Linked DNA regions of Mus musculus. The protein of the gene in region 2 purifies or fractionates together with the protein of the main gene of each other region. This does not show direct contact. Links are inferred from orthologs where the notes say so. Each region holds a gene or a part of one and is shown on either strand. Other genes may lie near its edges.

Region 1 (3,808 bases), on a different chromosome or scaffold from region 2:
GACGACAGGTCTGAGCCACCATGCCCAATCTAACTGCTTAATTTGATTTTACAGTGCAAAACCATCCCAGAACAAGTCGCTTTTCAAAGTAATCGCTGTTAAGACTAACTAGCTTTGCAAAACCAAAAGTAAGACAGCATCTGTTCTGTGTGGTTGTCTTGAAAATAAATAAAAGAATATAAAATAAAAAGGGCTGAAAACGTGGTAATATTCAAAATTCCAAATTCTGGCTGGCATGAAAGGAGGTCACTTTACTGACTGTTATCACAGACCCCAGTCCCAGCAGCAAAAGCAGATCTGTGAGCACTGGACACCGAACAATTATACATGGTAAAAATAAGTGTGAGTCTTACTGTCTGCGGGTAGGAGAGGGGACGCAATCTGTCATAATCTTCTTGTCCAGCTGTGTCCCATAGGCCCAGATTCACTGGTTTTCCATCTACCATAACATTGGCAGAATAGTTGTCAAAGCTGCAGGAGGACAAGGAAACATTAGCCACAGAACAGGGACTAAGTCATAGTCCCCAGGTTCCCAAAGGAGGTCTGCTGTGAGGGAAGAGGATGGACCTAGAGGCTGCTGCTGGTCCAGAAAACACCGCTGAGGTACGGGAAGTCCCTGGAGGCCGGAGGACACAGGGCATCAGCCTTACTCACACCAGGCAGGGAGAAACAAAGGTCAGGCTACTAACTTACAAGGAGACAAACCCCACCTTTAATCAACAGTGTTTTCTCTGCATGAAAAAGACAACTGGGAGGAGTCCCTCTTCCCAATCCCACCTGGCTAGTTCCTCTGACACATTCTGCTCACTCTCAGCTGGTGTGCTCAGTTGGCGCACACAGCAGAGCCACCTGGATCTGAGGCCCAGGGCTGCAGAATAGCAGCACACTGGAACTTCAGAAGCCACCCAGGCTCTCAGAGTGAGGGCACCTGACCACAGAAATGCATCCGTTAGCCTAGAATTGCTACACACAAATTAGTTATTAGTAAGAGGCAACTCAGAAAAGACTACCAACTAATCAGCAAGAGGAAAGTCATTAAAGGGTTGTAATCCCAGCATTAAGAGCCTGAGGCAGGAGGATCATAAGAGTCCAAGTTCACTTTAGGTTACAGAGCAAGACTTTGCTCTCAGGCAACAAAACAGACCTCAGAACAACAAAAAAGTCTACGCTATTACTACTCTTCAAAAAACAAACCAAAACCAAGAGCATGGAGCAGGTCAGGAATTGAAGGCTAGCCTAAGCTACACAATACCATCTCTCAAAAATAAAAAATCCACTGCAATTTAAAACAAGACAATATCGTCATTTTTTTTTTGTTGGCGTGTATGTATGCATAGCACATGTATATCTGGTGCATATGGAAATCAAAAGAAGCGTATTGGCTGGTTTTGTGTCAACTTGACACAGCTGGAGTTATCACAGAGAAAGGAGCTTCAGTTGGGGAAGTGCCTCCATGAGCTCGAGCTATAAGGCATCTTCTCAATTAGTGATCAAGGGGGAAAGGCCCATTGTGGGTGGTACCATCCCTGGGCTGGTGGTCTTGGGTTCTATAAGAAAGCAAGCTGAGCAAGCCAGAGGAAGCAAGCCAGTAAGTAACATCCCTCCATGGCCTCTGCATCAGCTCCTGCTCCCTGACCTGTTTGAGTTCCAGTCCTGACTTCCTTTGGTGATGAACAGCAATGTGGAAGTGTAAGCTGAATAAACCCTTTCCTCCCCAACTTGTTTCTTGGTCATGATGTTTATGAGGAATAGAAACCCTGACTAAGACAGAGGGCAACACATCCCTTGAAAGTGGAGCTTCCACATGGGTGCTGGGAACCAAACCCAGGTTCTCTGAAAGAACAACCAGTGTTCTCAGCCACTGAGTCATTTCTCCAGCCCAAGACTAGCATCTTAAAACATGGATTTTAAGGCAAAAGGAGCTTTTTTTTTAAAAGATTTATTTATTTATTATATGTAAGTACACTGTAGCTGTCTTCAGATGCGCCACAGGAGGGCATCAGATCTCATTACAGATGGCTGTGAACCACCATGTGGTTGCTGGGATTTGAACTCAGGACCTTTGGAAGAGCAGTCAGTGCTCTTACCCGCTGAGCCATCTCTCCAGCCCCAGAAAGGGGCTTTTTGTTTCACTGGTTTTTGTCTTATTATTTGTAGTACTTAAAAACAGGGGCTCTTAGTGTAAAAGTCAAGTTTAAGCTAGTGTGACTTACAGACTGTACTGAGCAAAGCAACCTTTATAAGGATGGTGGAGTGATGTGTATTGGAAGGCAAGGTAAGAGTGCAAAGTCAGCCTCGGCTCTATGGTGAAGCCCATTGGTCTCCCCAAGGCGAGCCTCCAAGGGTGCACTGGCTGCAGACAGAGGACAGCACAATGTGTGTAGCACAATGAGGCTCCAGCAAGCCATCAGTGAGAAAAGCACTTGTTCTTCCCACCCAGTGGGGCTGCCCATACACAATCAGCAGCCCTGAATCCATACCCTAGCCCAACTCTACAGCTCTCAGTGTGACATGGAACCACCTGATAACTTGGCAGAGGGTCAGCTACCTCTAATGCAACACTGTGCACCAGTTCCCAGAGCCAAGTCAGCAGACTGCTGTGCTCAAGCTCTGGGCTTTACACTCCCCAGCCTATACACTTCATGGTATCATTTTCTTTTGTTTCCTAAGAATCAATCAGGAAACTGACTTTTCCCTCCTATGAGGAAATCATACATTAATTGGCTCATTTTTTAATTTGAAGTTCCAAACCACTAACAATTCTCTCTCAGTCGCTGATTCAGAGGGAAATAAACACTAACGCTCCCACGGCAAGTTGGTCGCAGGCGAGGAGGATACTCACACGGTGGGGATGTACTCTCCAGGAAATGCATTGGTCGTGTAACTGATGAGCAGGCAGGTTTTACCAACAGCTCTGAAAGAAGAGAAAAGGCTGCTTAGTCAGCGCGCACAGTCCTGGCTCCCACTATCCCACCACAGCATTCTAGAAAAGACCAGGGAACAGCTATACCACATCCACAAGCATAATAAAGTTTATGTGACATTTAACACTCCGCACGTAGTTTCATCTTAAAAACCAAACCAAACCTCTGTATTCTCAGAAAGGCAGATTCAACAGGCTCCCTTTCTGCTAAGGTACCTGGTCAAGAAGTACTACGCACTGAGTACCAGACTCAGAAACGGCTAACACAAAGTTTCTTCTAGAACATCTTCCACTCTGATGACTACTAAGTAACCATGGCTGCTCTGCAACATGAACTGTTACTGCCTGCCGGTGCCGCCTCTAGGTGGAATGCTGTGAACCACATGCCCTGCCCACAAGCCTGTCCCTCCCAGAGCACAGGCAGTTAAGCAGCCACAGGGCTCTCACACTCACAAGCTGAGAAAGATCCTAACATGTCAACGAGGGGCACAGGGATGGAATAAACTTCCTGAACAGCTAAGACAGAAAAGAAGAAATGTACAAAAGTAAACACATTAAGGGGACAGACATTACTAATATTCTCCCGAGGCAGGAGTTAGGGTACTGTCTGAAAAGCTCTGAACCACTTGGAATAGTTTTCAGAATATTACTAAAAATAAAAATATATATATAAATAAAATCTCTTAAATTTCCTCCCACAGACCCTAACTGACTTGAGGGACATCTGGAAGGTTCAGTTCAAACAGTTCTGTGTGCTGAGCCCTGCTCCCTGCCGCCTTCTGCTGCCTTACTAAGGTCAGGACGGTGCTGGTACTGACTTGCAAGGCTGCACTGTTCAGCACAGGCCACTGTAGACTGAGGCTCACTATCCAAAGGCAATCTTCA
Region 2 (4,306 bases):
GCAGACTGAGGCCATTGAAAAACGTAAACAAAAAAGTCACACCGGACCACATATCTATTAAGATAAAACACAGCCAGGCATGGTGGCACATACCTTTAATCCCAGCACTCGGGAGGCAGAGGCAGGTGGATTTCTGAGTTCGAGGCCAGCCTGGTCTACAAAGTGAGTTCCAGGACAGCCATGGCTATACAGAGAAACCCTGTCTCAAAAAACCAAAAAAACAAAAAACAAAACAAACAAACAAACAAACAAACCAGGGGGGGTGGGAATCCTTTTTAATGGTGATGGAGACTGAACCCAGAACCTGAACGGTTGTAGACAATTGTTCTGCCAGCCAGCTCTAACTTCAGCCCTTATTCACTGTTGTTTTGAGTCTCACTGTATAGCCCAGGCTCGTTTGTCCCCCCCCCCCCCTCACCCCCCGACTTGGGATTACATTTGTGTTATCACCAAGACTGCTTTCTTGTTCTTGCTTTCTAGTTTAAGACAAGCTCTCAGGCGTCCCTTCCCTTTCTGCTCTGAAACTGGATCTTATGTAGCTCAGGCTGGCCCGAAGTCCCTACGTCCCAAAGACATCTGATTCTTCCTGTCTCCACCTCCTGAGTGCTGGGACCCAGAGCTTTGTGCAACCAACTGTGCTACATCCCTTGCACCCGTACAGACCTTTTTACTCAAGCTTTTTCCAGCCGGGGAATGTCCGTTTCAGGGTACAAAATTGGCTTGTGCCTCATTCTTCCTATGGCGCCGCTGGGAGTCTTCTACCCTGAGCTATTTCTGGTCCACTTGCTTGCACAAGCTCTAGTATGAGGCGCGCCGCCAGAGTTATTTATTCGTCTGTTTCGGGACGGTGGGCCGGTTCCCTCTCTGCACTCAGACATTTGCTAAACTCCAGGGAGAAAGTGCAAATACTCAGGCTGGGCAATGGTGTCGGAAAGGTAAAGAAGGACTGCAGAGCCCAGCGTTGCATTTGTTGGGTATCTCGGGGGGGGGAGACCGCGGTGCATTGGCGGCCTCAGCAGACGCCTCCACAAGGAGGAGAGTGGAAGCAGATGGCCAGGCTAAATTGTAAATCTTAACATCTACTTCAGTCAGTCTTTCGACCACTATCAAATGTGAAATAAATAAATAAATAAATAAATAAATAAATAAATAAATAAATAAAACGCAAAACTCTGCCAAGTTACACCATTCCGCAGCTAACAGCCTGAGGAAGCCCCCGCTGCCGCCCCGCCCACCGCCCGGCCCCTCCCACCGCCCGGGCCGGCCCCGCCCCTAGCCTTGCGGGCGTCTGTGGGTCTGCAGCCGCAGGGTCATGGGTGGGGACAGCTCAGGCCCTTTCAATTCCGGAACCGGCGCACGCCTCAGGACCTGAGTCACCAACTGTCACCAGGGGCCGGAAGTCACCACCAACTCTCACGGCTGGGAAAAGGTTTCCTGTGAGCCTGCGGGTGCTCGCGGACTACGACTCCCAGCATGCTCTGCGGCAGCCGCACTTAACCCTTCAGGGACAGGAGCTGCCCTGAGTCCCGCCCCCCACCTGCCCCTTCCTCGGACCCGGCAAGGTGAGTTTTGAGGGGCTGGGAGGGTCTTTTTCCTCTCTAGGGCTTAGGAGTGAGTGAAAGTGAGGGAAACGGGCGTTTTGTTTAGGAAGGATTCTTTATTTTCCAAAAATGGGACAATTTGCAGTAAAAAGATTCTGACGCCCTTTTGCAAATGGGAGACCCACTGCTACTCTGCGAACTCCAGGGCCTAAGTGGAATGACCAGTCTCTCAGAATGCCATGTAATTCTTCTTTATCCAAGAACAGAGTAGCCAGAACCTCCTAGCTCCCAAACATCATCTTTTCCCTTCATCAGCGCTTCCAGCAAGGTTTGTGACTCAAAGCTCAGCTAAGGTTTTTGATGTGATCCTGACCAATGGTGTGTCCGTGTGGATACCTATGAACTCCTTTGGAGGTCCTGTAACCTTTTGGGTTATTAGGGGGCTCTTTGTCTCCCAGGGCCCCCTCCATGTGTGTGTGTGTGTGTGTGTTCCCTCCATGCTCACTAGGCATTATAGCCTTTTGTTTGATTTGAATAACATTGTCTTGTTGAAAAATGTTCCTTCTTTGGAATTATGTGTGACAGATGTTAAGCCTTGCCTACACTGGAACCCCTAAACCAACATTAGGTATAGAAGTCAGTGGGTAATAACACGCTCGAGTTACTGTGCATAGTTTAAGGTTGGGGGTAGGTGGGGGCCCAGGGATTACAAGTTCTAAGGATACGGGAAAAGACAGAAGGGAGTGCAAAGGCCTCCTCTCACCTTTTACTGTTTCCAGAACAGATTTTAAAACTTCCCACCTGATACCAGCCCCCCACCCCTCTACCCCGACTCCACCCCAAGCCCTTGCTTTGCTTGGGCTTTCCCACGGTCTAAAACTAATGCAAGTTTTTGTTTGTTTTTCTACTTTAGTTTTCTTCTTTCTCCCCTTAGCTCCTATCTCAGAATCACTGGCAAACATCCTATCTTCACCCTGGAGGTTAACAATCCCTATTCTGACAGGTCTCGTGTTTCTTCTCTGTACCCTTAAAGAAAACATTCTATTCAGCTGTAGGAGAGTGGTATCAGAGGGAAGAAAACTTTGGGGGCAGGAGTCCTGAACCATAGGAGGCCAGGGGAGTGAGGGCAGACAGGCATAAGTCTCTTCCCCCTCACCCTTGCCAACTGGCTCCCTGTCCCTGCTGCTGCCCCCGCCCCTTGACATCCCAGACTCCCTGCCTATTTAAACAGAGATGGGTGCCCCCATCAGCACATTGTTCTTTGGCCACCTGACATCATGCCTCCCAAGAAGGATGCTCCCGTGAAGAAACCAGCAGGGCCCTCCATCTCTAAGCCTGCTGCCAAGTCTACACCAGGGACCCCTCTAGCCAAGGCCAAGGCTGAGCCGGCTGCCCCCCAGGCACCTGCAAAATCCCAGGAGCCCCCTGTTGATCTCTCCAAAGTGGTGGTGAGTCCTGGGGAAGTGTGAATCTGGAAGGGATAGTTCAGAGATGCGGTGCAGCCTTGGGTATCCGGGAATATGTGGAAAGGATAGGGAATGAATGAACGCTGGAATGAGGTTGGGGCTCCCAGGTCAGGCCAGTTTCCGAAGTGAAGGGAGAGGGGTGCTGTCTGCCTCTGGCTCTTCTGTTCAACTCAGAAGGCTACATCTCTGAACCCCAGGAGGGGAGACTGAAGAGGGCAGGCTTGTTAGACAATCACAGCTGGGGGCAGGGGTAAATTTAGCCTTTGTTCAGCCCCCAGTTATGTGAGGGATGCAGGACTCGGGGTAGCAGGAGGGAAGGGAACAGGTGGCATGGGATTAACCCTGTTCCCAAGAAACCCTCCCCCTGTAATTCCTCTTGGGATTCTCCCAAGGCCCAGAGCTGGGGACAGGACTGAAGTGGCCCGGCTCCCCGCCTTCATCCCTTTGGGTCCCTCCCCAGAAGTGGCTGCCAGTTGGTTGTGATAGAGAGGGACTGAATAAGCCCTGTCATCTCCTCACCTGCCCTTTTTGTCCCCTACAGATCGAGTTTAACAAGGACCAGCTGGAGGGTGAGGAGAAGCCCATTTCCTAAGCCCCATTGTCAAACCCCAAACTCCTGGTCAGATTCTCTGTTCTAACGACAGTCCTGACCTTGAAACCTCCCACACTTGTCCTGTTCTCCTCCCTCCCATGCCTGGCTCTAGCACATGAATTTCTGAAGCAAACCTCCCTCTCTCTGTTGGTGATGGGGATCCTTGGTCACACTGCCTTCTCCTTACATCTCAGAATTCAGAGAGGCCTTTGAGCTGTTTGACCGAGTAGGTGATGGCAAGATCCTGTACAGCCAGTGTGGGGACCTGATGAGGGCCCTGGGCCAGAACCCTACCAACGCCGAGGTGCTCAAGGTCCTGGGGAACCCCAAAAACGAGGGTGAGAGGAGCCTTGAGTTTTGTGGGGGTTTCTGTTTTCTTCTTGGTGTTGAACGTTGAATACAGGGTTCTGCCTGGGCCATTGAGCTACATTTCTAGCCAGCAACTTTCTCTTCTTCCTCTTTTTCTTCTCTCTCTCTCTCTCTTTCTTTCAAGATAGGATTTCAGTATCCCAGCCAAGAATGACCTTACATTCTGATTCTCCTATCTCCACCTCTTGCTACTGCCCACTAGAGTGGTGGGATTACTCCAGTTTATGTAGTGCTGGGTTGAATCCAGGGCCTCAGGCAAGCCAGGCAAGCCCTTATTACAGAGGTACTGTTTTTTTTTACTTTTTGAGACAGGTGCTCACCAAATTACTCAGGTTGGC

Evidence for each region.
Region 1: the proteins of Myl6b (region 2) and Rac1 purify together in Homo sapiens (affinity purification with mass spectrometry; 3 studies listed by BioGRID and IntAct, with this or other methods). This does not show direct contact. The link is inferred for Mus musculus from reciprocal best matches to the Homo sapiens genes MYL6B and RAC1.

Annotation. Positions count from the first base shown.
Region 1 is NC_000071.6:143,514,316-143,518,123, forward strand, and holds part of Rac1 (ras-related C3 botulinum toxin substrate 1), read right to left. Parts: intron 2,915-3,808; coding exon 2,843-2,914; intron 472-2,842; coding exon 354-471; intron 1-353. UniProt on the Homo sapiens protein: Plasma membrane-associated small GTPase which cycles between active GTP-bound and inactive GDP-bound states.
Region 2 is NC_000076.6:128,495,884-128,500,189, reverse strand, and holds the start of Myl6b (myosin light chain 6B), read left to right. Parts: upstream 1-1,504; 5' UTR 1,505-1,562; intron 1,563-2,772; 5' UTR 2,773-2,818; coding exon 2,819-2,989; intron 2,990-3,548; coding exon 3,549-3,576; intron 3,577-3,793; coding exon 3,794-3,937; intron 3,938-4,306. UniProt on the Homo sapiens protein: Regulatory light chain of myosin. Does not bind calcium.